Linked DNA regions of Diceros bicornis minor. The protein of the gene in region 3 interacts with the protein of the main gene of each other region in a pairwise test. Links are inferred from orthologs where the notes say so. Each region holds a gene or a part of one and is shown on either strand. Other genes may lie near its edges. The genes, in order: FAM131C, keratin-associated protein 26-1, GRN and FAM76B.

Evidence for each region.
Region 1: the proteins of GRN (region 3) and FAM131C interact in binary tests that used the Homo sapiens proteins (3 or more experiments, as listed by UniProt). The link is inferred for Diceros bicornis minor from reciprocal best matches to the Homo sapiens genes GRN and FAM131C.
Region 2: the proteins of GRN (region 3) and keratin-associated protein 26-1 interact in binary tests that used the Homo sapiens proteins (3 or more experiments, as listed by UniProt). The two-hybrid records come from large-scale screens. The link is inferred for Diceros bicornis minor from reciprocal best matches to the Homo sapiens genes GRN and KRTAP26-1.
Region 4: the proteins of GRN (region 3) and FAM76B interact in binary tests that used the Homo sapiens proteins (3 or more experiments, as listed by UniProt). The link is inferred for Diceros bicornis minor from reciprocal best matches to the Homo sapiens genes GRN and FAM76B.

What each region holds. Positions count from the first base shown.
Region 1 is NC_080752.1:34,029,762-34,037,616, reverse strand, and holds the start of FAM131C (protein FAM131C), read left to right. Parts: upstream 1-4,845; 5' UTR 4,846-5,092; coding exon 5,093-5,114; intron 5,115-7,855.
Region 2 is NC_080766.1:31,087,025-31,092,399, reverse strand, and holds keratin-associated protein 26-1, read left to right. Parts: upstream 1-4,084; 5' UTR 4,085-4,151; coding exon 4,152-4,727; 3' UTR 4,728-4,864; downstream 4,865-5,375. UniProt on the Homo sapiens protein: In the hair cortex, hair keratin intermediate filaments are embedded in an interfilamentous matrix, consisting of hair keratin-associated proteins (KRTAP), which are essential for the formation of a rigid and resistant hair shaft through their extensive disulfide bond cross-linking with abundant cysteine residues of hair keratins.
Region 3 is NC_080757.1:42,918,923-42,926,466, forward strand, and holds the start of GRN (progranulin), read left to right. Parts: upstream 1-4,523; 5' UTR 4,524-4,594; intron 4,595-6,251; 5' UTR 6,252-6,392; intron 6,393-7,242; 5' UTR 7,243-7,249; coding exon 7,250-7,387; intron 7,388-7,511; coding exon 7,512-7,544. UniProt on the Homo sapiens protein: Secreted protein that acts as a key regulator of lysosomal function and as a growth factor involved in inflammation, wound healing and cell proliferation. Regulates protein trafficking to lysosomes, and also the activity of lysosomal enzymes.
Region 4 is NC_080746.1:38,219,410-38,227,088, reverse strand, and holds the start of FAM76B (protein FAM76B), read right to left. Parts: upstream 3,023-7,679; 5' UTR 2,931-3,022; coding exon 2,844-2,930; intron 2,019-2,843; coding exon 1,954-2,018; intron 816-1,953; coding exon 761-815; intron 1-760. Other genes in the region: CEP57 (centrosomal protein of 57 kDa), read left to right, coding at 4,154-4,198. UniProt on the Homo sapiens protein: Negatively regulates the NF-kappa-B-mediated inflammatory pathway by preventing the translocation of HNRNPA2B1 from the nucleus to the cytoplasm.

The DNA.
Region 1 (7,855 bases), on a different chromosome or scaffold from region 3:
CCTTTGTGCAGGGCGCATGAGGCACAACCTTGAATTGTGGCTGAGTCTGAGTTGCCAGCGTGGTACTTTCTGGGTCAGTCGCCAAACAGAGGAAGGAAAATGAAAGCAGTCAAGAATTGTGCTGTCTCGTGCTGCCCCCTGGTGGCCACCTTCTGCATAACATTGACAGCTCAGGAAAAGCATCTGAGGGGAGAGGGCCTCCTACCTGCAGAGATCCTGAGACTCAGGAGTCAGGGTCCCAGCCTCAACCCTGAGAAAGGGATCTTGTCGTGAAGCAGCCCCCGTGGACCAGGCCTGGGCCAGGCATTTTAGAGACGAACTTGGGGCACCTGTTTACTATCCGGGCCGGAAGCTTCCAGGGCAGGGGCTGGTCTCATCCCAGTGTCCCCAGTGCCCAGCACAGAGGCTGTGTCTCCCCCATCAGACTATGGCTTACCCTTCTCTCTCTCCCTGTCCCACCTAGTCTAGCTCATTGCCTGGGGAGAGGCGGAGGGGACTCCGACCCGACACCTCACTCCAGCTAGAAGCCCCCATCCCGAGCCTGGAGCTGAGAGTGGGCACATTCTGTGGTCAGCCTGTGGCCTTCTTTCCCAGGCTTCGCAGACAGCGCTGGGCCTCCAGAGAAACAAGGAACTGTACGAGGAGCTTCATTCAGGCCTCGACCCCACCCGAGAGTGACTGGAAAGAAGCTGGTTGGCAGAGAAGAAAACAGAGGATGGGGCTTCCCCCTGCTCTTTGGATAAAGGCCAGATCCCATATAGGTGCTCGCTCCTGCCACCGCCTCCCTCTCATCCCCCGTGCTCCAGCCACCATGGCCCTCTCTTCCTCCTGGGAGTTGGTCCCTTCCTCCACCTCTAAGGTGGCCCATGCAACGTTATCTCTGCTAAGCCACGTCCCACTCGTACTTGAGCTGTGGACTCATTCACTGTCGCTTCTCCTGGACGCTCCCTCCACGCTCGACACCACATTGAGTCCTTCTCTTCTATGCTCTCAATAGATCTTTCTCAGCAATCCCAGGGCTGTGACTCTCAATTCACCTGGGTCGTTACTGGATGAATGCCCACCTCCCCCATGAGGACTATTCTCCCTCCTCCAGTGAACAGGGGCCTCATCTCTCTCATTCACGCTGTAATCTCAGCACCACATAGTGCTGGGCATATAGTGATGCTCAATAAGCATTTGCTGGATGAATGAAAGGTTGAATCAGTCAGTCCTGCCTATAACCGCTTTCTAGATGTGTGACCCTGGACAAGTCTCATTTTCTTGCATTCAGTCAACAAACACTTATTGAGCATCTACTACAAATTGTTCTGGGCACAGGAGTCAAACCCAGATCTGGCTGGCTTCCAATTCTGTTCCCTTACTGCTTATCCAGCTCTGCCTTTCCTGAGAAAACCAATACTGAGGAGATGTTTGAGGCACGAGGTGGGAAACCCCAGTCTGAAGTCTCATCCTCTCCCTCTGGTCCCCCAGACATCATATATGCCAGTCCCCCAGTACCTCAAGCATCCCTCCCTCCATACCCTGGTGCACACAGAGCCCTCCAGCATCTCTGCCTGCCAACGTCCTATTCAACCTTCAAAACCCCATCGCAGGCCGGCCCCGTGGTTAAGTGCGTGCGCTCCGTTACTGGCGGCCCAGGGTTCGGATCCCGGGCGCGCACCGACGCACCGCTTCTCCCGCCATGCTGAGGCCGCGTCCCACATACAGCAACTAGAAGGATGTGAAACTATGACATACAACTATCTACTGGGGCTTTGGGGAAAAAAAGGAGGAGGATTGGCAATAGATGTTAGCTCAGAGCCGGTCTTCCTCAGCAAAAAGAGGAGGATTAGCACGGAGGATGTTAGCTCGGGGCTGATCTTCCTCACACAAAAAAAAAAAACCATCGCAGGGTCACCGTCGCCTTGAAGCCATCCCCACAACCCTTGGCAGAAGCAACTCTCCCCTCACACTTGGCTGGCGTGGGGGTGCACCAGTGTCCACTCTGACCCGAGCTATTGATGCACACGGCTGCCCTCGTGCAGTGCCGTCCCCCTCCCAGGACCGCCTGGGCAGGGACTGGGTCTGACTCATCACTGAACGGCTCCCGTTGATCAATCTTTCCCTGACCAAACCCTGCATCATCTGCTCTCCATGCTCCAGGGCCCAGCCCAGGGCTGGGCACCCGGGGCCAGTAAACGTCCGTTGTTGAACAGAACAAGTAGGGCAGCCACAGGAGTGGGGACTCTGCCCGGATCCCCAAAACCATGACAGGCGAATGAGGTTCGGGGTGTGAAGGGCACTCTCTCCCCTGGTCCCCTCACCCAGCAGCAGCCTCCTCTCTCCTCCCCCCAGTGGATGGATGGGGAGGAGGGTGCTGGGGGAGGGGAATGGGAGGTCACAGGGCAGATGGGCTGTGGGCTGAGCTGAGAAAGGACAGCCTGCCCCTGGGGAAGGACAGCCACATATCTTAGAGCTGTCTGGGAGTCTGGGAACCATCAGCTTCAGCAGAATTCCAAGGACAGGGAAGGTGAATGTGGGCATGCAACAGGGAGCTGCCCACCCTCACATGGTCCAGTCTCAGGTTAGTGCCAGGGCTGGGCTGACAGGCAGGAGACCTGGGTTCTCGTCCCCATTCTGCCATCAATTTGCTGTGTGACCTTGGGCAAGCCCCTGCCCCTCTCTGAGAGCCAATCTCTACAATGAGAGGATTGATTCAGTGTGGAACTGACCAGCATGAATGCTGGAGGCTGGGACAGCCAGAACCACCCCACCTCGCCCAGCCATCTCTCTGAGCTGGTGAGCAAGGGACCCCGTGTGGGGCCGCTGCCCAGCCTCGTCCACCTGTCCCTGTCTTAAGCTGAAGGGGACACAGTAGACTCCTCAGGCATCCTTTCCCCTGTGAGCTGCCCTGTCCTCTCTGCAGGGGTCCCCCTCCCCATCCCCTCTGCCCCCAGAGCTGCCAGGCTGCCAGCTGGGAGCAGCAGCAGCTGTGACCAAGCTTCCTGCGTCATGGTGAGTCAGAGCCCTCCCTCCAGGCCAGAGCCAGTCACTCCACCACGGAAAGAGGAAGGACACTTCTGCTGCCACAACCCCGGGCCACACAGGACAGGCCCCCAGAGCCTGGCCACAGGCAGACTCGTCTTCCTGTTTCCACACAAGGGCAGGCACACAGCTGACACTGTGCAAGGCACCAGGGCATCCATGGTGATCACAGACTGTCCCTTCAGAGCTATCCCCACAGGCCAGACGGGGGGGGGGGGGCGGGGGGGACAGGTCTGAGATGGGCGGGGCATGGGGGTGTCTGAGCACCCTGACCAGACACAGCACTGACTCCAGGACTAGCATGTCTGTCTTGTTCGCAGTGGCGCATAGTAGGTGCTTCATACACGTCCACTGAATGGCGGTTCTTTAGGCTTCCTGTGGGTGTAGGGAAGCTGTGGGGAGGTAATAATACTTCCTACCTGTGTTCACCGTCACTATCAATTATCATTAGCCGTAAGTTAAGTATGTACTATGTGCTGGTCATTTTGCACATATTATCTCATTAATCCTTACAGCAACCCCAGGAGGTGAGATTTTTACCCTGGGTTAACAGATAAAAAAACTGAGCCTCAGAGAGGTGAATCAACTTGCCCCGAGTCACACAGCCTGTGTGAGCTGAGCCCACACTCACACCAGATCTGCTGACACCAGTGGCCAGGGCCACTCTCCACCCAGACTTGACTCCAGAGAGGTGACCAGGCCTGGAGAAAGAGAAAGCGGTCAGCACCCACCCCCAGCCCTGTCCCCCACCCCGCCCCCGGCAGTCCCACCAGGCCCAGATCCTGCCCTGCTGGAGGCCTCCAGCTCTACCCCACGCCCCTGCCTCAAACCTCATCCAGCCTTCCAAACCTTGCCCGGCCGTCACCAGGAGTTTGAAGGGACCAGTGAACCTGGCTTCCTCACCTGTGAAAGGGACACAGTGACACGCGCCCACCTGGGGCACAGGTAGGTGTAAGGATGGAGTGAGACCAAGCAGGTGAAAGTGAGGGCCCCGGAGGGAAGGTTTGCTAAGGCGCTGGTGGGGGAGGGTGTGTAAATGTGAGCGTGTATACATATGAGTCTGTGGGTGTGTGCTAGTGTGTGTGAGTGTGTACAAGTGTGTGGGTGTGCAAGTTGGCATGTGTGGGTGTGTACGCGTGTGAGAGTGTTTGTAGGTACGTGTGTGTGTGAGACTGAGGGTGAGTGATTAGAGCCGGCCACTGTCGCTCCATTAGACAGGAGACCCGGGCTGAGGAAAGGCCCGTGCCTCAGTTTACCTTGCCCTGGATAGGCCCAGAGAGGCCGTCGACCCCCTTCAGGTGCTACGGGAGACTCCTGTCCAGCGCGAGGCCACTAGTACACTATCTCCACCCTCCGTACTCTACCCCGGGCCAGCGTCCCCCAAATGAGGAGCTGACGGTCCAAAGTCGCTGTCCCTCACAGCTAAGGGACCTCAGGCAGGCATCTGACTTCCATGAGCCTCTGCAAAATGGGCGCAGTGGAACTATTGTTACTGCGCTCAGCCGGGTGTCCGGTCGTGGTGGTTGAGTTAACGTTATGTACTTTGTGCCTAAATGCCGGAATCTCCCCGTCCCCACCGCCCCCTTCCCTGACCTTCAGCCCCTGTCACCAGGTGGCGCGGGAGGCCTGAGGGCCGGAAATTGCCCTCCCCACCTTCTGCCCTCCCCGCCACCCCACCCCCTGTCCCCCCCACTCCCTTGCACCCCCCGCCCGGGCTGCCGCAACAGGTGCGCGGGGCTGGCGGCCACGCAGGGGGCAGGGGCAGGGCACTCGGGGCTCGGGGCGCGCGGTCCCCGGGGGCCCCCGCCCGCCGTGCCGCCCGCGGCTGGCAGAGCAGGAGCAGGAGCAGGAGCAGGAGCGAGCGCGGCGCGGGAGGCGGCGGCGCGAAGAGCCGGGCGCGGCGGTGGTGGCGGCCGAGCGAGCGGAGCCGCAGCCCCTTCCCCGCTCCTCCGCGCGCCCCTCCGCCCGCTGCGCCCGCGCGCACCTGAGCCCCAGCCCGCGGAGACATGAGCGCCCAGCGGCCCGACGCACCCGAGGCGCAGCGGCCCGGCCCCGCGGCCCCGTGATGGGCTCCTGCGTGTCGCGAGGTGAGGGGGCCGCCGGCCTGGGGGGGGCGGTGGCCGGGGTCCCCGCGCCCGGGACGCGCGCACGTCCTCTCGACCGCTCTGAGGAAACTAGAGGGGTAGGGGAGCGACCCGCCCCTCCCGGACTAAGCCGCACCCCACCCCACGCCCGCCGAGCCCCAGGGGACGCGGTGCCCCGAGGGGCACAGGGCGCGGGAGACGGGGTGCTGCTTGGAGAGAGAGCGCAGCGAGGTCACCGCATCCCCAGACCCGCTTGGAACCACACCCCAGCTGGTGGCATGAAACAGAGTCCCTTCTTTCCCAACAGCCACACACCCCCTGCCGTGCGTGTGCCTTGGAAGGGAAGGAGGTTTCTGGTTGCCCTTGGCGTCTCTGGCGGGACGTCGGGGGCACCAGAACACAGATTCACACCCCCTCAAGACACAGGCCTCACTAGCTCAACGCTCCCCCACCCCCCACCAGCTCATTCCCTCCTCTTACCCCATGCCCCTGTCTTCAGAGTCCCTGAACCCCATTGGCAGGAAGGGCTTAATGGAGGTGAACAGGTTATAAAGAAAGTTCCCCTTCCCCCACCCTTATCCCCAACTCCTCATCCCCATCGCCATCTGAGGTCAGGGGGTAGGAAGGGAGAGAGACAGCTGATGTTCCCAGTAAGCCCTGGGCCTTTCTCTCTGTCTCTGTGATTTAAAAGCCGCCCTGACCTGGCACACTCTGCTCTTGTCCTGTGCCAAGCCCCACCCCTGTCCCCAGGGTGATGCCCGGGAGCTGGAGTGAGCTGCCCTGGAGGGTGGCGGGGGAGTCTTACACAGAGCCTCGGGGATGGGCAGGTGGATCCAACAGGCCACTGGGCAACATTTTAGAAGAGGTTGGCTGGGCTGTTCTCCCACCTGTCTCTTCACCCCAGAGTGGGATGCGGGGCAGGGCTGGGGGTGGAGGTGACTGGGACATTGGGCTGAGGCTAAACCCACCGACCCAACCTCAGGGCCTTGGGGCCTGCTACCCCACCTGTCTCCCCCAATAGCTTATTCAGGTATAGAGGAATGAACAGGTCTTTGGGAGGAGCTGGGCAGGCCCTGGAGGGGGCCTTGCCCTGGGAGGTGTTGATGAAGGAGCACAACATCCCCCCCACACACACCTGCCCATCCTCTGGCCTCTAAGGGGCTCTGCTCACCGGTCCATGTGGGACATTCAGGTACGTGGCTCAACATGTCTTAGGAGGGTGTCAGGGCTGGGATTGTGGGTGGAGGCTAGACTGTGTGAGGTTCATTCACTTACTCATTCATAAGCTGATATTAGCATGACACCTACTGTGTGCCAGGCACGGTGTAGGCTCTGGGCTTCCAGCGGCGATGAGCCCAGCACAGCGCCTGCTCTCGTGAGGCCTGCAGCCCAGCCAGAGGGGAAGGGAGTTTCAAGAGTGAAGTGTTTAGAGTTCTTTAGGACAGACAGGCTCTCAGTGTGTCTCCAGAAACCCCGAAGGCTCTGGGCAGGCTCCGGGTGTTGGGGATCTGGGATCTGGTGTTTCCTTGGTGACTGTGTCCCTTCCCCATCACTTAGTCATCCCATGCCAGGAACTGGGGGCCCAGCCCCTCATGAACTTGCCTGTGAGCTGCAGACCCGCTGAGCACAGTGCAGAGGCCAGGGAGGAAGAGAAGCCCACCAAGGTCACACTGCGAGGTGGTGTCAGGACTGGGGTGGGGCCCAGGTCCTCTGAACCCCCACCCAGTGCTGGCACCCTCTGCCATGCCTGTTTGAGGTCACACCACCCAAGACGGGCGTTCTCCACCCTTCCTTCTGTGGCTTGGGCTCCCGAGTGCCACCTCCAGATCTGGTTGTATATTCTAACCTTGTCTCCCTCCTGAGAGGGTAGGGCCACTTAGAGCTTAATGTGCATGCAGAGAAATGAGATAAAGATGAAGGTATAGGGCTGCTTGAGCAGAGGACACCGTCGTCCCGTGAACCCCCGAGTGGAGGCCGTCCACCCCTCTGTCACTAATAGTCTCAGCGTACTTATGGCTTACCAGGTACTGGTTGGAACCTTTTGGGCACAACTAGTTAATTTGGGGTACATACTATCACAGTCCCCATTGTACAAATGGGGAAACTGAGCAGAGGGGAGTTGAGTGACTTGGCGGGGCCACATGGCTAAGAAATAGCAGAGGCGGGACTGGAACCCAGTCTCGCGGACTCCAGAGCCTGGGCCCTCGGCCTCTGCCCGGCACAGCCCGCCCTCAGCCCGGGTGCCAGCTCCTGTCCTGCTCCTCCCCAGCTGCAGGCTTCCGTGAGCTTCTGAGCCCCACACCTGGCCTCCACACCTGCACCAACTGCTAATAGCAGCCCCCTTAGTCCACGCGTGTCCTTGGGCCAGGGACGCAGCCTGCAGCCAGGCCAGGGGTTGGAGCCTCATGCTGATGCCTATATGGAGCCCGGAGCCTGCATGCAGCTGAGGTCACCCCAGCCAAACCTCAAACCCCAGGTCCAGGCCACACCTGGGAGAGCCAGCCCATGCCAGCATCGGGCAGCAGTTGCTTCTCCGTGCCAGGCCAGAGAGATCAGGAGTGCAGCCTGGAGCCGGCCAGCCCAGGTTCGCATCCCTGCTCCACCATTCTCTGCCTCTGAGACCTCAGGAAGTAATGTAACTTTGTGTATGTATCTCAGTGTTCTAATCTCTAAAATGGGAGTAATGCCAGTATTGATGTCCTAGGGTTGCTGGGAGGGGATTAAATGACCTAATCCATGTAAAG
Region 2 (5,375 bases), on a different chromosome or scaffold from region 3:
ATTCTTGACTTGACTAAGTAAAGGTCAATTTTTATTTGATAAAGAAAACCTAAGTTATATTTTGTGAATGCCATGATATTAGTCATCAAATATTTACTAAGGATCGACTAAGTTTCCTCACATGTATTGAGAATAATGATCACGCCTACTCAAATAGGGATGCTGTGAGGATTAAATCAATTAATACATGTAAAATACATAGAACCGTGTCTAGTACATAATAAGGATTCTGTAAACAGTAGCTAATAAGAGTTCTGTAATATAATCAGGAAATAAGACACATAGAGAAAGAACATTTTGCTTGCAAAGCAAAGGAGTGTGTGTGTGTGTGAAATAGGTAATGATAAATATACAAATTTAAAGCTGGAGAGATTTAGATTGGTAGGAATGTATTTACAAAGAAGGGGCTAATTTAGCTGAGGTTTGAATGATAGTTAAAATGAAAGAATTATTCCAAAGGAGAGGAAGAATAGGATGAATGAGGAGATGATGTAAAATGAGGATGGATGTGGAGTAATTGGAGACACGAACAGACAACCCAAAAAGAGAAGAGAATCTCTATTGGGAAGCAGAGGAGGGCTAATCAAGTGTTTGGACAATTCTCTGTGGACAAAGGGGAGTTATCAACATTTTTGAGTAAGAGAGTCATACGATAAAATTAATTCTAGAAGTATTAATCTAAATGCAGTATTCAAGCTAAAGAGAAGACAATAGGAGGCAAGATGGCAGTGAGAAATGTATTTGTTCACCAAAGGGGAACAAAATCCAACTTGAATGATGGCAGTGATAACAGAAAAGGGAAAATGGATGAAAAGACATAATTTTAGTGATCAAGGAAGAAAAGCCTTACAACAAATTTTCACTCTGTCCAATCTATGCTGCAATTTAATCACAGCACTCTCTTCTTGAAATCAGTTATTGGATCACCACACCTATAGAACAAAATCTTAACTACTTCCTTGATGATTGGATTAGATTCAGCGTGTGAATCTAGGTTTAGTTACTACAACTTGCGTCTAAGAACCCTTCACTGAAAGCACTGTCGTCATTTTTTCTGCCTTTATACCTTTTGCTACAGCCTGAAGTGTCTTTGTCTTTCCCAAACCCTCTACCATTTTCTCTTATCCTTCAAAATCAATATCAAATGCCAATTTTAGGTGAAGCCAATGAGCAACATTTGCTCTTTTCTGTACACCATTTATAGAACTTAGTAAGCACTGACATGAATTGTGTACTTGTCTTATCATATATACAAGATTGGATGTGTCTGGCAGCAGAAATCAATGGTATCTTGGTATTATTGCAAGCATCTATCATAATGTTTTGCATATACAAGATGCTCAACAAATATTTGTTGAACGAATGAATGCAAGGTATGTCATTTATTGACATACCTTTATTGTTGCAATGCTCTGAGGATTCTTTACGTCTAAGAGAGAGAAATTCAGGATTGCTTCTCTACAGTAAGACAGGTAAGGACCCATAATTCATTGAAGAAACAGTAACAAAGTGGGTAAATCTGGAGGAGCACACAGGATGCCCAGTTCTTTAGTCTACCTCTAGCTCTTACATCAGAAGAGCTTGAAACCTGTAGTTTATAGGAGCCTGCTAATGACGTACCTGCTGTTATGCCTACATGAGCTCTTCCCTTTTAGTGACTCGGTCACTATCAAATAACATCAGTTCAACATTTGTTATGTTAAGGTACAACTTACATTCAGGGCACTCTATTTTCTGAAATTCCATGGATATTTTTGCTGTGTTACCCACCCACAACAACAAAAAAATGCAAGTCTTGTAGGGCGCTCTAAAGGAATTAAACCCAAGGTGGTACTCTTTAGAATGGATTAAGGATGCCAAAGCAAGAAAATAAATTATTCTGGTATAGTGTTTTGCAGTACACATTTAACTTTTTCTTATATCTCAATGTATCCTAAAAATGATACTAGACATTACTAATATACCCATTGTTCCATAAAATAATACTGATAGGGACTGGGGATCAGAGTAATTATGAAAATTGCCCAGGGGCACATAGTTAGTAAATGATGGTATCAACATATCTCTATATAATGTCATATCAGATAATGGGACAAAAAACTGTTTGCGGGTTAAGGACCCCCAAGCAAATGTTCAAATGTTTGAAACCCTTTTGTTCAAATATTTTTCTTCATTTCAATTACTGTAAATTTCTTCATCTCAAGTTTTCTCATGAATACTTGAAATAGTAAAATTTACTGTAAAGAGTTGTGAGGATAAAATGACATTGCACATGTGGGTACCCGCACTGCAAGGTGTTGCCCAGAGTAGACGCTAAATGAAGATCAGTTTCCTCATATTCTACATCCCTTCTCTTCATGGAAAAACATTCATTATACATAATGAATACATAACATAAACAATACACACACACACACAAATATATTGATGTACTAATGATGCAGGTATTGGGCTCTTGCTTATGTTAGAGAAGAGCAGGCACAAGGAACATCAACATATAAATCTGATAAGCATTCAGTTAAATATAGCTGTACCTATTACTAACGCCATTTAGCTGAGGCCTCCAGGATATCACAAGAAGACTCAAGCAATGTGTACCAAGAGTACCAGGTGACAAAGCTGGGGAAGTGGGGATTGGGGTTGGGGGGACTCCTCAAACACATCAGGTACAAATCATCAAAGGGTATTGTTCCCTGACCTAAAATACTGAGATAATTTCATCCTGTCAGTACAGGCCCTCAGAGACTGTATCACGTTCTTTTCATATTTCTATCCTTGGTAGTAAAATAGTTCTATATTGGCTTGTAGAGAAACCAATCTTCTATTTCAAAGATTCTGCTCCTGGACAGAGGGAGACTCAATCCATGTGGGCGTTTTCGTTAAACATTAAAATAGAAGAAAGTGCTGTGATTTCCGTTGAATTTCTAGCTAAAGGGCATTGGAAATCAGATCCAGCAGATAATTAAAATTTCCATTAAAATAGCCATTGGAGCCACTAGATATGTTGGTAGATGAAAAACACAGTGAGAAGATTGAGGCTAAATGCAACCATGTTTTCTAAACCAGTTTTTACCAGAAAATATATCCCCAAATTACCTTCCAAGTACTCATACTTAGGAAAACTTTACATTTATTCTGATGCTATTGCTCATGTAAAGCAGTTTAGAAACTCCTCTCTGGAAATTGATATGAGAACCAATGGAAGAAGCAGAACCACATCCACGTCCACGTCTTAATCATTATGTCCCTTTTTTTCCCAAGAATAGTAGTTTTCAGTTGGGACGTGAGTAACCATGAAATACATAGCCTATAATAACTATGAAAAATGTCATTTGTTCAACTTTCTTTAAGTGGTTTTATTTGCTTTTGTCACAGAAGGATGTATAATTTTAACTGAGCCCAATGTATTTATCTGTATTAAGAATACTTTAAACATCAAATAAGCTTTCAGTTTGACTCAGTTTATTTATTTATTGAAATGAAGAAAATGGGCTTGATTTTCTAAAATGAAGATATTTTGGTGGGAAGTCACTTTCTACCAGGATTCAACAATAAAACAAAGTACAAATTTGGGTGCATTGACATTTTCCATTTTGTACTACTTTTAAACTCTTTCTGCCCCAAACCATATAGGTTATAGGATTTTTTACATTCTTTTACAACATACTTGCTTTTAAGTTTCTTTTTTCGACAATTTCCTAAAAGAATAGAATTTCCTCTCAAAGAGAGCTAACTTGTCATTGTTTCAAAGAAGTATTCTACAACTTTTGAAGACAAATCCAAGAGAGGCATTCTAAGAATGTTTAGGCAGAGGTGGTTATAATTGGAATACGTGAATGACCTTCAAAAGTATCTGTTTGGGTTGGATAATTTAAGAAGGAGAGATCCTATTAAAATTCAGTCACTCTGCTCTGTAGAAATGATGGAAGGCCTTGCCAGGAACATCCAGTTTTATGAGAGGTGGGAGCACCACTTCCGGGCTATAATGAAGAGTTCTGAGGCAGCCTCACACAACAAGGAAGAAGAGAGTCTGTATACACGATCATCACCTTCCAGGGATATATAAGGGATCAAGCCAAACGAGGGGCACAGCGAAACTTGAGACACTCGCTTCTTTCCAATCAACCCCAGCCTGCTCTCGGCACCTCACCATGTCTTGCCACAACTACTGCTCTGGAAGCGACAGCTTGGGATCCCTCAGAAATCTGTGTCATATTCCTCTCACCTCCTCCATTTCCCTCTGCTCTACAAATGTGAGCTCTGGAGATGTCCTCTGCTTGCCCAGCAGCCATCAAGACCACACCTGGCTCCTGGACAACTGTCAAGAGACCTGCAGTGAACCAACCAGCTGCCAGCCAGCCAACTGTGAGCCCAGCAACTTGGAAACTTCTCACTGCCCCTCCACTGCTTACTACGTGTCCGGACCCTGCCAAGGAACCACTTTTCTTCCGGCTGCTTCTTACGTCTCTAGCTCCTACCTCCCAGCATCTTGTAGACCTCCGAGGTATGTGTCCAGCAGCTGCCGACCCCTGCGCCTCCTCCCTTACGGATGCCGCCCCTTGGGTTGTTTGCCCTGTGGTCCTCAACCCCTTAGCGTCGTGTCCAGCTGCCTCAGACCTCTGCATCCTCTCTCCATTGGATACCGACCTCTGACCCATGTGTTCAGCACTTGTCATCCATCTTGCTCTCCACTGGGAGGCCAGTACCCTCCTTGTTCCAGTTTATAATCATGCTGAAGATCCAAGGCAAAAATTCCAACTCCATGGACTTTTGCTTCTTTCCTAGTAGTGACTGCATTTTCTTGGTTTTACTGTGCCTGATCTAATGCAAGCTGCTCTTTTCACATTTTTAACTCTTTTTTTCATCTCTCTCTGACATCAAATTATTTGGTTTACAATGTTATTCATATTGCTTGGGTGTGGGAAGAATTTCTTTGGTTTATGCTGTAATAAATGAGATCAAATCAGAATTAAGATTCTGGTTCTTCAATTTGTCTTTTATTTCTTCATTTTAACGGAGAAATGACCAACCTCAACTTCTTGCAAAATAAGTAACTAGGACTTGGGACACTCAAACATATGTTCTTATCTGACAATAGGGGTATGGCTTGATGGCTTATTCTTTGAGCTGCTTTCTAGATCTCGCCTCCTACGTACTTGAGAGACCCCAAATGTTCTTGGTGGAAGTTATTTTGAAAAGGCGAGATTAGGAATGATCTCCTTATCTCTGTCTTCCAGTGAACATACTTCCACCAGAATGTCCTTTCTAATCACAAACTGAGCCATATTTCAGGCCTGCTTAAGCGTTTGATGGCTTCCTATGATCTTTTCCCACAAAATAAAAAAAACAAACCCCTTACCATGACATCAGCTTCC
Region 3 (7,544 bases):
AATGCAAGATCCTGGGGGGAGATAGCCTCTGTCCTGGGGTAGCTGTGACTCTTCTATGTGGACAGAACAGTAACTCTGAATGAAGAAAACACTGAGGGGTGATTGGAAGAAACAGGGAGAGGCTGAGAAAAGTGGAAGACAGGATAGAGAAGGGAGCTGCCCAACCCCTTTATCCAGACCATCACCTCTGAAAGCAGCCCTGGGGCTGACTGGAGGAACCTCTTAGCCAGAGGGACATATCCAGGGGTCTCTCCGTGCCAGGCTCCTGAGTGGGACCTCCTGTCAATTACGGTGCCTCAATCCAGCACAAGCCTGGTATCTGAGGTCCAGTTCAGCTGGGGCTGCAGCAGGAATAGAAATGAACAAGGAAAAACATATTTATAACTTCTTAAGCAAGGAGGGAAAAAAAATGCAGAAGCCACAAAGGAAAAAATTGATTGCTAGATTTCCGATAACATAACAACACAGCTTCTGACCGCAAAAGATACCATAAATAAAGATAAAAGACAAATGACAGATTGGAAAGAAATATCTGCACCATATGTAATATCCAGAATATATAAAGAGATCTCATAGTCCAACAAGAAAAAGAAAAACACTGTAGAAAAGTGAACAAAGGATAATGTGATGGTTAGATTTACGTGTCAACTTGGAGGGTGTTTTTTGATGAGATTAACATTTAAATCAGTGAATTTTGGCTAAAGCAAATTGCCCTCCATAATGTGGGTGGGCCTCATTCAATCAGTTGAAGGCCTGAATAGAACAAAAAGACTGGCCTCTCCAAGCAAGAGGAAATTCTCCAGCAACTGCTTTTAGACTTCATCTGCACGATCAGACTCTCCTGCGCCTCCGGCCTGCTGGCTCACATTGCAGATTTTGAACTTGCTGGCTTCCATTGTCACGTGACTCAATTCTTTTCAATAAATCTCTTTCTATATACACATCAATTGGTTCTGTTTCTCTGGAGAACCCTGACTAACACAGATAAGAACAGGCAATTCACAGAAGAAATACATATGCAGAATAAGCATAGGCAAAAATGCTCAACTTCCCTAGAGGTCAAGGGAATGCAGATAAAACAACCAGGAAATATCTTCTGTCATTAGATAAGCAAAAAAAATTTTTTAACTGGCGTATCCAATGTTGGTGAGTATATGGGAAATAAGTTTCCCAAATAGTGTGACTGGGAATGTAAACTGGAAAAATTTTCAAGACTGGAGAGGAGGTCCTCACTGAGCACCAGTTTCCTCATTGCATAGAAAGGGGGTTGAGCTAGATGAGGGGCATTAACATTTCAAATGTGCATACCCTTTACCCAGCAGTGTTACTTTTACAAATTTAACTCCCACATGTACACTCAAAGACATGTTCACAAATATTCATTGTATAATTGTTTTTGCAGTGCAAAAAATTGGAAACACATAAAAGTCCATTAAATGAGACGGGTTATGGCCAGCCCCAATGGTGTAGTGGTTAAAGTTCTGCGCTCTCTGCCTTGGAGGCCCGGGTTCATTTCCCAGTCTCGAAACCACACCACCTGCCTGTTAGTTGCCAGGCTGTGGCAGCGGCTCACAAAGAAGAACTAGAAGGACTTATAACTAGGATATACAACCATGTACTGGGGCACTGGGGAGAAGAAAAAAAATGAGACTGGTTAAGTAAACTACATAACATCTATAGCATGGAACACTTGGCAACTGTCAAAAAGAAACTGATAAATAAATTAAAAGACATCCCATGTTCATGGATAGGAAGACTTAATATTGTTAAGATGGCAATACACCCCAAATTGATCTACAGATTCAGTGCATTCCCTATCAAAACCTCAGCTGTCTTTGCAGAAACTCATCCTAAAATTTGCATAGAAATTTGAGAGGCACAGAATAGCCAAAATGATCTTGAAAAAGAAGTTGGAGGACTCCCACTTCTGTCAATTTCAAAACTTGCCAAGCAGCTATAGTAATCAAGACAGTGTGGTACTGGCATAAGGGCAGACAAATAGATCAATGGAATAGAACTAAGAGTCCAGAAATAAACCCTCACATTTACAGTCAATTGATTATATCAAAATTAAAAATCACAAGGCCTGGCCAAGGGGGCTGGGAGGGCTTAGGGAACGGGGCAAATGAGGATAGACACTTTGATGTCAAATCTCTTTGTGACTCTGGAAGTTTGTTTCTTTTCAGTCTTTCCTATTCACAAAATGATACTCCCTCCTTAAAAGCAAAAAGCAGAGGGAGAGAGATTCCTGAATTGGAGGGTTTAAGGACGCTGGAACATTTCTTGAGGAATGTGGGAGATGTTCTGCAGTCCTCGTGGGAACTGTACCCTCTCCACTGAAGTGGAGGTTCCCTGTATCTAGTGTGAGAAGCTGTTTAGTAACTATATTCCACATTTCCTTGCCATAGTGATCAGAGTAACTGCATATGATTCAAGTTCTTCTGAATGCTCAGGTTCATACTTTGACTATTAACTACTGTCCTTTAAGAGTAATGCTGGTAAGGCCCATTGAGTCTTCCAAAACTGTTTCCCCCTATACTCAGTGTCCCCGGGATGTTGGGTTTCTAAGTTCTTCAGTCTGCTTTTTACAATTTTTCCTATTAAATGCTTTCAATCCTTGCTAAACTCAAAGTGATTGCTTCTAGAAACTTCCACCCATACATCCCCTGATCTTTCTATAATCTACTTTTACTGGGAAATCAGATGACAACGTTTATTTAAAATATATGAAATAAGAGAAAAGAGGCTCTGTGGGAGGAAAACTTTGAGTTCTTTCATGGAGAAAGTTTCTGATCCTTTAGAGAGGGTTTCTCAACCTCAGCACTACTGACATTTTGGGCAGAATAATCTTTGTTGTGGGGGCTGTCCTGTGCACTATAGGAAGTTTAGCAGCATCCCTGGCCTCTGTCCACTAGATGCACCTCCCCCCAGTAGTGACAACCTGGAACATCTCCATACACTGCCAAATGTCCCTGGTGGGCAAATCACCTCTTTAAGGATTTTGTGATACTTGTTTCAGTCACTCTAGTTTTTTTCTTTTTCTGTGTGTATTTTTTTTCTTGTTCTGTGTAGTTCTGATTAATAGGTACATTTATTGATCTGCCTAACATTTCATGAAAAGTGTGTGTGCGCGCGCGCGCGCGCGCGCGCGCGCGTGCATATGAGCTTCGTCAATAGAAGCATAAGCTGTACCTTCTTGCCTCGGGATACAGAGGAAAGAAAACATGCACAAATATTACTAGCCTGCAGAATAGTCCTGATTCTCGGCAGGAGCCTTATCCACTCTCTGGACCTTCTCTGGCCCCAGGCTGAGCACTGCTTCCACTCAATTCCTCAGCCCTGCCACTGCTTCCCTACCCAGACTCCCACCACCCCTGAGCGTGGCTATTTGTTCCCTACCCCAGCCTCACTCTCAGCGCTCTCCATCTACTCTGCATAACCAACACTCCCCTTCCTTCCCAGGCACCAGGCTTTCTCTGGGCCTCTCCTCTCTCCCCGTGCATCTCCTATCACTCATCTCGGCCTGGGCCAGGCCCTCTGGCACTGAGCAGTCTGCCTCCTGTTGCTGGCTAATCTGTTCTGTGTGGTACATTTTCTCTCCTCACCCGACCTGTCAATTCCTGGAAGGCAGGGCCGACTGAAACTAGGAAGCCACTTCCACTATGCACCCACCCCAGCCCAGCCTTGAGCCAGACACACAGCAGCTCCTCAAGTCCACTACACTGAACTTGGCATTCAATCCCTGCCCAAGGCTGCCCTTCCCATCTGGTTTCCTAACGCTCCTCCCATCACCCCCTGTCCAGCCACTTCTCCAACCTCTCCCCACCTGCCAGTTAAAATCCTCCCAGACTCAGCTCAATAAGGTGCCCCCAAGGTGGAACGAAATCTCTTCTTCCCCGCCTAGAGCCAACCTACTACCTCTTCCCATACACATCCATAGCACTTGGCACACGCCCTTGTACCTTAAATTAGATTTAATCTGAGCCTGTCTTCCATTCTCCACCCACCCACACCCTGCTGCGAGCACCTCGAGGAAAGTGCCTGAGGGCTGTTCATCCTTGCCCTCACAACTCTCCTTCCATCCTCTTTGGGGCCTGGCCGGCCAGCATTTAATCTGAGTTTGTTGAAGAGAACAGAAACAGGATGCGCAAATGTCCCAAATCCAGAAGCGGACATCCTGTAAACGCCCTTGAACGCACTCTCTAAGGGGCAGCTCCCTTGGCTGTCAATGTCCCCAGACAGACGCTACTCCATCTCGGGCAAACTCTACCAGGCGCCCACAGAAGGCGGGGAGGCGGGCACCCCCATCCCGGCGGAGCAGGCTAGGGCATCACATGCTTCTCCAATCACATGATCCCTGGAAACAGGGAGTGACGAGAGAGAAACGAAGGGAGGGAGGACAGCGAATTGAGTAGGAAAGAAGCACCGCCTTCCAGCCTAGCCCCGCCTCTAAGCAGGCGCGTAGCCAATGGTAGCGCGACACCCCGGGCCGGCTGGCCAATGGCAACTGAGGTGGGAGGGCCATTGCGCTGCGAGGCCCAAGTCCGTGAGCTCCCGGGCTCCTGCTATCCAGGGAGCGCCGACCCTGACGCAGGTAGGGCGGGCGGCGGCGCCCACCTCTCGCTTGCTCCTTCCCAGGGGCCCGCCCAGGGAGACATGGAAGCTTAAGGTTCCTCCGGAGTTTCAGCCAGGAGATAAGGGAAGAGTCGCTTAGAGAGTTTGGGGGATTTGCGATGCACTGGAGGGAGTTTTATGGGGGGTGGTAGTAAGCAGTAATTGCAGTGACCCCCACTAGAAGGGAGCTCTCTCCCCTCCAGCATCCCCGGAAGCTGCAGCCGCTTCCTCAAAGCAGGGACCACTCCATTCTTGAGCCGGTTCCTCCCCCGTGGGCAGGTGCTGGTGGTGGTGGGTAGTCCCCGCGGCAGCTGGGAGCGAGAGAGACGCCCACCCCTGGTCCCGGAGCTCAGAGGGCTGGGAGTGGGACTTGAGACCCTGGCCTCCTCAAAGGTAGCAGGGGCTTGGGAGTGGTGACTGAACCCCTGGGTTGTGTCTGGCTCTCCCTTACTTCCTCTCGTGGGGGGTGGGACAAGCTGACTTCCGCCTCTCCCTGCCACTTTTCCCTGCTCACTCGCAGTTGGGTTGGCTCACTTTTTGGGAATCTCTCTCCTCCTGGCAATCGGAGTTGGGGGGTGCCACCTAGTGGAAGATGACGGAGGTGGGGGCTTGAAGAGGCTCCTGTCGTCGCTCTCTACTGGGGCAAGGTGGGGTGGGGGTGAGAGAGGCCTCCACTCAGAACCCTGTTGAGAGGAATTAGGCCTCTCCTCCTCCATCCCTGGTCCTGTGTGTGCATGTGCGGGCATGCGTATTCAGTAGATGCATACACTATACTCCCTAACCTCAGGATACCCAGGAAGGAAAATATACATACATAAATCACTAGGGTGCCGAATAGTCCGAGGTCTGTGCAGACACGCATCGCTTCTTGCCTAAGCCAGGGCAGTGAGACAGCCTGTGGAGGGTCGAGGTTGGACTCCCAAGAAGTGGGTGGGCCGGCTGTGTATGCCTTGCCTGTGAGCTGTGGGCATAGAGGAGAGGGTGAATGGGGCTGTGGCCCAGGACTGTTCTTCTTCATCCTTACCTGGCCGCGAGATGGCTTCCTGGTGATGGTCTTTGAGCTGGGGAGGGGACCCTGAGGAAAGCCAGGCGAGGGAGAGGGGATGTGAGGGCCTGGGCCAGTGCGATTCCCTGCCACACACTGTGTGCTGTGTCCACACACAGACTCGGTGGGGAACTGAGGCCCGGAGATAGGGAGCAACTTTTGAGGCGCTCTCGGTCAGTGGTGGCAATTCTAGGACGAGGACCCAAGTGCAGTATCCAGGCAGCCCCTGCACTCCCCATGTCTGTCCTGCCTGGTCCACCTGCCCAGGAAATGCCTCTGTCACCTTCCTCTGCTTGGACCCCAGGCCTCTTCCCTCCTGGGGTTTGGGGTCCATTCCCGGGCACTGTCCATCATGCCACTTGTGAGGTGAACCCAGGTCCAATATGCTCTGGAGCCATCAAAGCTTGTCATCTCCATGACTTGATATGTGACATGAGCATGTTACTTAACATCTCTGAGCCTCAGTTTCCTCCTTTGAAAAGTAAAGGTAATAATTACTACTTTGGATGGTTGTTGCAAAGAATAAAGAAAATAGAGTGTTGTAACTGGCTCCCAAGGGGTTCAATAAACATATTTGGTTTTGCCCCTCTAGGCAGCGTGACATCCCCTGGACCTGCCCTATTCAACCAGCAGGGTGGTGGCACTTGGGGCAAGAGTTGTAGGAAGTGAGAGGCTGCTCCCCCCCCCCGGAGAGACTGAGGCTCGGTTCCTTCTGACTGGGATCTGCAGTCAGGTGGGCACATGTGGTCTGTCTCTACCTGTGGCTGAGTTTCGGCTCCAGGGTAGGGGGAGACGCAGGGGTAAGAGGGTGGTATCTTTGGGGAGTCTGAAAGGGCCTGGTGGTGTTGGGGGTCCTTAGAACACAGGTGTCTCAAAGGCTGACCCAGCCTCTGTGTCCCCTTCCCTGGGTGGGGAGGGGACAGTCAGTGGGTGGGCTGTGGCTGGCCTCTGGGGAAGGCAGCTGAGACTCCACTGGCCACTGCACTTCCCTTTTCACAACTTTCTCAACCCTATGGTTTCCCATGTCATCATGTGACCTCCCCTCCCCCGCCAGCAGGCCTTAGCAGGGTGCAGGTGTGAGCACAGTATTGATTGAGGAGGCATCTGAAGGGGCTGGCTGCGGAAGTGGAATCCTGGCTTTTCTTCCGGGGTGGGGGACTCCCTCCTTGCACCCTAGCCCTGTCCTCCTATGGCTACTGATGCCTTCCCCACCCCCCACAGGTGGCCCACATCCCCACAGATCAGACCCACAAAACTCATAAATCTTCCTATCACGTGCCCACATCTCTACACACTCACCCACAGAGACTCAGGTGTTAAGCCACATGGTGGGGACAGAGATTCACACGTGTACTCGTCAGCATTCATGCTCATGGGTGTACCTGCGCTGGTGCACGTGTGACACACACACAGGACATATGTAGGAAGCTGAGTCTCAGGCCCCACACTTTCTTGCTGCCTGGACAAGGAGTTGCTGGGGAGGCTCAAGTAGCCCTGGGCCTGGGGCTGGGGAGTGACTGGCCCCAGAGTCAAGGGTGGCATGGGCTTAAGCTGGTTTCCAAAGGCCTCTTGTTACTTTGCAGGCAGACCATGTGGACGCTGGTGAGCTGGGTGGCCTTAGTGGCAGGGCTGGTGGCTGGAACACAGTGCCCAGATGGTCAGCTCTGCCCTGTGGCCTGCTGCCTGGACCCAGGAGGAGCCAGCTACAGCTGTTGCAATCCTGTTCTGGTGAGTGCCCTTCAGCCCACGCCAGAGCTTGTATCATGGGATTTCCCAAAGGGGCATCTTGGATTGGCCAGAGGAGGGGGACAGGCTTGGGTCCTTCAGTTTATCCTCTCCTCTCACTTCCCAGGACAAATGGCCCACAGCACTGAGCAGGCGCCTG
Region 4 (7,679 bases), on a different chromosome or scaffold from region 3:
ATTTCCTTTAATTGAGACATTTAAAAAAATTAAACATTTGCTGCATAAAATATACCCAGTGTACAAATATATTTCTGGATTAAGGAAACAGGCAAAAAATTTTTCTGTCAAGTATGTTGCCTTGTCGCATTCAATGACATTTATCATATTTCTATTCATTTACTAACATTTATTTCTAGAGCTATGAAACTTTTTGTTATTCTATTGAATAGTTTAATGATCATGAGAAACATTATTTACGATTTGCATATCATGTTATATAATACAAAAGCTACACGTGAAAAGGGTCTCAAAGAATGAAAATAAATGTATGCGTTTATAGAAAAGTTTGATGTATCCAGTATATGGAGGAATAAAGTTTTACTAATTTAATATTCTGGTTAGCTTAATTACTATATCATTTATTCAAAAAACATTTAGCAACTTATCATATACAGGTACAGATGATTCAAGAAATACATACTATAGGTGAGTTTTCAACTTAAAAATATTGGCACAAGCACACTCAACATAAACTATAACAAACATACCTTAATTTTCTTTGATGTTCAAATGACAATTCAGGATTTTATAGAGCCTTAAGGCCAGCACTTTGACTAATCATGACTATAATATACCAATAATTTCTTCCCTGAAATATTCTGGTATGTTGAAATATTTCAGAACATAGCAATACATATTTTTTAAAAGGTCCATCATTGTGAAAAAGATTAATTGACCGGTAACAATAAAATGAAATGAAAATGTAAGACATACTTACCGTGCCAAATTGCTTCACATTTTGAGCGCACTTCTTACAAATTGTATTAGTTTTGCTAAAAAGGAAATTGTATATAGATGATCAAATTTATGTAGCTTTCTGAGTAACTAGCACAATGTTGAACTAAAGCAAACAGTGAAAGAGAACAATTTGCTTTAGCAGTACTTAAAACTTACTCTAATATAGACCAAGGATTTTTTAGAAAATACAAACATAAGTATCTTTTAGGGTTGTATATTATCCAAATTTACTTTTCTTCCAATAGCTTAAGATAAATGTTTTTACATATTTTTATTTTTTACTTTTTGTTAAACAAAAACTCCTAATGTTTCCTATCTAGTTTCAAAATCTTCACACTTGCCACTATTTAGGTATAGCATTACATACCAGTGCCTACCTTACCTTCCACTGGGCCTTCTCCACTATATGATGTCCACACCTACTCATGAAGAAATCATTTGTTCTTGTCTTAGGCTACTCTCTTGTATGTGCTGTGATTCTCTAAGAATCACCCTGTTAAAACGTATTTGCTGGGGCCGGCCTGGTGGCGCAAGCGGTTAAGTGCGCGCGCTCTGCTGTGGCGGCCCGGGGTTCGCCGGTTCGGATCCCGGTCGCGCACCGACGCACTGCTTGTCAAGCCATGCTGTGGCGGCGTCCCATATAAAGTAGAGGAAGATGGGCATGGATGTTAGCCCAGGGCCAGTCTTCCTCAGGAAAAAGAGGAGAATTGGCAGATGTTAGCTCAGGGCCGATCATCCTCACAAAAAAAAAAAAAAAGTATGTGCTGTTCTTCCACTGGTAACAAGTTACTAGATTTCACCCGGGGAAGGTAGTTGGTAACACTCAAGACCTCTTTTCATGTCCAAGCCAGCACTAATGTTTTGCCATTTTTTTATAGCTTAATAGTAACTATCTATATTTGCATTTTTTTGTTAGCAAGGCTGTACATTTCTCAGGCGACAATTTATTCTTTATTTCCTCATGTGTAAACTGAAGTCTAGCTGTAAAATAACCATTAAATTTTTGTCAACATTCTCTCTCTCATCATGCATAAAAAGTTTACAACTTAAAATCTAAAAAACTAAACCATTTTTTTAAAAAAACTTGAATACAAACATGGGATTACAACCCCCAAGTATTCCTTACAGACAATACTTTGTCCTTAACAATCAAAAACTGTTCAGTATACAAACCTCTCTTGTTGAAATTCTGATCTGCAGTAAGTACATTTTACAATAGGATGTGCAATCCGACATTCCTGTAATAAAACAATATATTAGTCAGTATCTATCTCAAAGTCCTAAATTTCACTTTTCTAGTAGAAAATTATTACCCAACCTAGTCAAATGTCTAAAACAGCTATAAAATCTGTCCCCCGATGTAGACAATTGAGTGACTTATGTAAGTGGCCAATTACAGCACAATTCCTTGGGGAAGGCATAGGTGTCTTTGTCTTTATTAGATGTGGGGGGTATGCTGCAGATAAATTAAGCAAGCTGTCAGGGCCGATTTCAAGAACTGGTTAAATGTGAAACTACTTATTATTTTGCACCGTTGCTCACAGACAGCATCCCGGCTTTAATGGGATGGGAGGAGCTCCAAATCATAGAGCATTCTGTTCCCAAGCCAGTCGCTTCGCTTTCCTGGACAGGGAAGAAGGATGCCATCAGCTTTGCGGCTTCAGGTTCCTAGCAAGAAAGTGCAAAAACCGTCCCCCGCCTCCCGATGGAAGGAGAGGACAGACCAGGCAGAAAAACGAGATGAAAACATCTCCACCCCAGGGTCTCTGCAGCATAGACAGGTGGCTGCTTCACTCAGCCCCACCCCGGAGACCCCTGAACGTTATTGGGGCCCGGGCCCCTCCTGGGCCGCCTGGAAGACAGCAGTATTCTGTCTTCCTCCCAGGGGCCTTTCGCAGCTGATGCCCAGGTCCTCGGAAAAAGGGGTCCCCGGGTGAGAAGGCGAAGGCTCCAAATCCCTAAGGCGCCGGCGAAGGGCTCAGCGCTGCAGTGCAGCGGGCACCCAGCACCTTCGGGCTACGGCCGAGGAAACCCCGCCCGCCCGCCGCCCAGCGCCCACGGACCTTGCAGAGCTGCTGGCCCTGGGAGAGCTCCTCGAAGGGATAGCGCTGGGTACACTTGGTGCAAGCGTACAGGGCCGAGGCCGCCATCCTGCTCAGTCTCCTCCTCCACCGCCGCCCGCTCCGAGGCGGGGCCCTACGGAGAACTCGGGCGCCGCAGCCGCCACCGCCGCCCGGGCCGCGGGCTCCTCCTCCTCCCCCCCCCCCCCGCCTCGCGCCCACCAGGGCCTTGCTGCGAGATCCCAGGGCCCTGCGGCCGACGCCGTCTCCCTCCGCCTCCACTTCCGCCCCAGCCCACCAAGTGACGCCGACCCAGCCGCTCCTGCTTAGGCCCCGATAGCGGCGGAGGGAGACGAAGCGGATAGTTCTTTGCGGTTTAGCTGCGCGGCAGCGGATCCGCTTCCTTCTCGGCCCCCTTCCCCATTCCTGATTGGCTGGGGAGAGTACTGCGTCTCTCGGTCGCTCCTCCCAATGCCTAACCCCGGCTACGCAGGGAGCTCCCACAAAGGGAGGAAGTCGCTGGCCAATAACAGCCCGACGCTCTCAGCGCGCGAAAGCCGCTTTAAACTCGCCCCGCCCAAAGGTCCCGGTCGCGGCCATTTCTAACAGCTAGTGACAGGTTTGGGTGAGAGCGCCCCAACCCAATTGGGCAAATGTTCACGAAGGTTTACTCTCTGACTCTACTCTTTTTCCCCTGACTTTTATTGGACCAAATCATTAAGCCCCTCCTAATTCTATTAGTTATTGGTCAAAAGGTAAGTACTTCACCTGGAGAGGCGTCCCCGAGTCAAGCTCACGCTCTCTCCGGCGTTAGTCCGAGAGAACCGATGGAGTGTTTGAAATTCGCATTCGCTTTTATCCTCTGTCAGTCATTCGATCCAATTGCCACCGGAGACAACTCAACCCCTCACCCATGTTTCCTCCTCGAGAAGGCCCGCCCCTTTGTAGAGTCCCCTCTGAGCCATCTAGTATTCTGCAGCGTTACCCGCGCCGCAGTCTCAGCTACGCGCTACCTTGTGACGTCACCGAGGGAAGAGGCGGGTTCTCTCCTACTCCCGGAAGACGTCCGTTTTTTTGATTGGCTGTTCAAGACGTCCTTTAGGGCGTGTCGCCCTTTCTGTGTCCGCTCTGAGCGTGGGCGTCCCTGTGGGGGTGTGTGGCTGGGGCTTCTGGACCTGGCACCAGCCACCTAGCCCCTTCCATCAGGGGTTCGGCTTAGGGTCGCCCCTGGCGGGCGGCTCTCGAATTTTGAAGAAAAGCACGAGAACTCGGACCGCTGCGGGGCTGCGGAGGTCCGCTGGGCAGGCAGGAAGATGGCGGCAGCGTCGGTCTCTGCGACTTCTGGTTCTCAGTTCTCGGTAAGAAGCGGTTGACGTTCGAATAAGCCCCAGGTCGGCCCTAGCGCCTCTTTGCTTTTCCTCCCGCTTTAGAGAGCTCTTGGGCCAGCGTCTCACCCCATCCTGGGGAACGGCAGGCGACGCTGAGGTCGCCCCGTTCTACCCTGACGTCCAGTGCTTCTCTGTCGAGGCTCCTGTCTTCCATTGAAACAGGCCTGGCCCGGCTCTGTCCCCCATGCCCCCTTCACCTTTCGGCTTGGCAGCCCAGGTTGCCAAACATTGCCAGGGCTCTCTGGGATGGCTGTACCCACACGCTGGCCTGTGAAAACCTTTCTCCTTTGGTCACGTGGGTGTAACGGCCGGTCTTGGAAACGCGCCGCGAACAGGTAGGCGCGCTAGTCGGCTTGCTTGGCAGCTGTGGCCGAGTCCGCAGCCTCTAGTGCATCCTCGTCGTTGCTTATGCTGATTCCTTTGCCTGCAGCTCCTCCCCCTCCCATCCTCCCAGTAACTTTGTTCTGTGCTTATCCTACCCAGAGCGCGCGCTTCCCACCTCCCACCTTGTTACTATGACTGCAGTGTGTAAATGCCGTTTTTGAGAGGCCACAGGGGGAAATGATCTTAAATACTGGTTTCCCCTCCACAAGGGTCATCAGCCAGTTCACTCACTAATAATTGGCGAATTGGAGTACCGAACGCTTAGCATTTTGGGAACCGCGGCGTTAGGAACAGATAGACAATAAATGTGAGGAGGCTGAAGTGAGAGCCATTATTTCTGTATTTAGCAGATGCTGAGTGCCTGGCACACTTGTAGACTCTAAGATTACGGAGTTGAATAGGATAGAATCCCTGCTCTGAAAGAGCAAAACACTGAAGAGAAACTACACGTAATTAGATTATTACACAGTACAGTTTTTAATACTACCATACTAGAATAACCTGGGCGACAGTGATTAGCAGTGCTTGGGTAGGCTAGAGACAGTTTCCTAGAAGGGAAGATGGAGCTACCTGGATGATGAAGGAATCGTAAATGCTTGTGGCAAGAACAGAAAAAGGAAGGAGACAAAAGCATCACAGGCATTTTGGGGCATGTGACAAGACAATAGGTGCTCTTAGGAAACTTGAAATAATTTGGAATGAGTAGAGGTAGTGTGGAAGTAGAGTTGGGCTAGATGAATTGTAAACGTAGGTAAAAACATGAAAAAAGGATAGTGAGGGAAGAAGACAGGAGAATATCAGGGTAAAGTTATGTCATAGAAGCTAACGGGGGAAAAAAGTTTAGGGCAAGCAGAGTCACCTAGGGGAAGACACACTTCTCCTCAGTTTCAGCTTTTGATGACTGTTGTCAGGATTTGTGATAATGAGGCCAGAAGTAACCTTCAGGGTTTCAGCAGAATGAGGGTAATAAGTTTGCAGAGAGTTTTGGGAAGAATAAGGACGAAGAATGAATGAAGCAATTGGAGTTGATTCAGGAATTAGGTCAGTAAAAGGGAAGATAAGAGAGACACTGTTAGACTGTTAGGAAGAAGTGTCACTAAGTAGGTGGGTGAGATTATCTGCGTAGGAGTTGTGATTAAACTTAATTGGGAGAAGAGGGCTTTTCACTGCTCTGAAAATGTAGCACTGGGAGACTGCTCAAGGAATACTCTTATGAGTGTTGAATTCAGCTGCACTCTACCAGTGACTATCTAATGGTCAACCCTTAGTCTTTGAGGTAGCCTGGACAGAGATCCCGTGGAGTGTTTAATAAGAAAGCATATATATTTTTATATGGTAAACTCAGCTTGAAAAGGATTCTAAATATCAAGGGTACACTAAGAATATCTAGGGCCCTTTACAAGTCAAAGTATAACAGCCTTCTTAATTAACTTGACCTGCTACATCAAAGTGTCTAATTTGGAAGTCACTATGTCTCAAAGTAAAAACGACTAAATTTTGTTTATCGGTGTATAAGATATGAGCCCGCTTAGATGCTTTAACTGTCCTGTGAGAAATAAGGCTGGCATTTCCAGCAGAATTAAAAAAGCACTTTAGCTTAACAAACAGCTGATTGTAAAATAAGACAACACAAAAAGAAGACAAGACAAAAAGACCTTTTAAAACTACAACATGAACTCAGAAGGCTATTCATATTCAGACTTCAGGGTTGTGAACTTTATCAATTAATATGTATTCAGCATGGAGCTAGCTGTAGTAAATAAAGGTGCTTTTACCAGGCAAGGATTTTTAACGGGTAGATTCACAAATAACATAGTTGTTAGGAAAGAGCTACCATGTAAATCTCAAATGTGGACAACATGGGAGTAGGTGATACATTCGAATGGCTTTTTTCAGTATTTCGCTGCAACAGCAGCAAGAAGAGTAACAACAGTGGGTAACATTTATTGTGCTATTGCTATGTATCAACTTCACTAGTGGAGAGCAGCAGGGAAACAACTATGATTGGGCATAATGATATTAAATAGAAGTACAGGCAGCACAGTGTTGAAAGAGAAGAATGTCTTTTCTGTCATTCCTTTTTTATTTTCCCAGTAACCATGGTCAACACCCTTCTGTCACTTTGGACTTAATGAGCTAATCTCATAAGTGGTCTCCCTGGCTTTTTAGCCAGACCCTTTAACCGACCTGCTCCATATATCTCTTAAAAATATTTTATGAATATATCATAGATTTTATAACATTAAATATATAAAAAATTTATTTTTGAGAATAATAAAAATGAATAACTTCATGCCCCTTTTTGCATCGTCCTACTTCTCTGTCTTGCTCTCTCACACACCACCATACATTTTGAGATTGTAATAGTATATGACACTCATATAGTACTGTCTGGCAGTCATTGTTTTAAATACTTTTCATATATTAACTCATGTAATCCTCACAATAATCTTATGAGATTGGCATCAGTATTTCCATTTTCAAATGAGCAAAGTGAGACAGAGAGGTTAAGTCAAGGTTACGCAACTAGTAAATAGCAGAGCCTCTTTTATATTTCTGTATAGTATAGTGTCTTGATGGCCTTTGGGGTTTTTAGGGTTTGTTCATTAGTTTGTGTGCCAGCTATTATAAACAATCCTGTTGTGATCATCCCTATATGTTCCACACGTGCAAAAATTTCTCTAGAGCAGCAGTTTTCAAAGAGTAGTCTTAAGACCTTAGGGGTCCCTGAGACCCTCCCAGGGGGTCTACAGTGTCCTTCCTTAGCCAGCTGCTTTGTGGGAGACCAGATTTCCTCGTATAGATCAACCAAAACATCATGTCTGATAGGTTGAATGCAGAAGCAAATGTAAGAATCCAGCGGCTTTTTTTAAAGCTAAGAATTAAAGTGATTTGCAAAAATGTAAGAGAATGCCACTCTTTTCACTAATTTTTTTGGATGATATAGTTATTTTTCACTCAAAAATTATATTTATGGTAACATCATGGGTTTATTATTTTTAAATTAGTAAATAAATTTTCTCAGTTTTAGTTTTTAATATGATAAACATCAATAGATATAACCAAC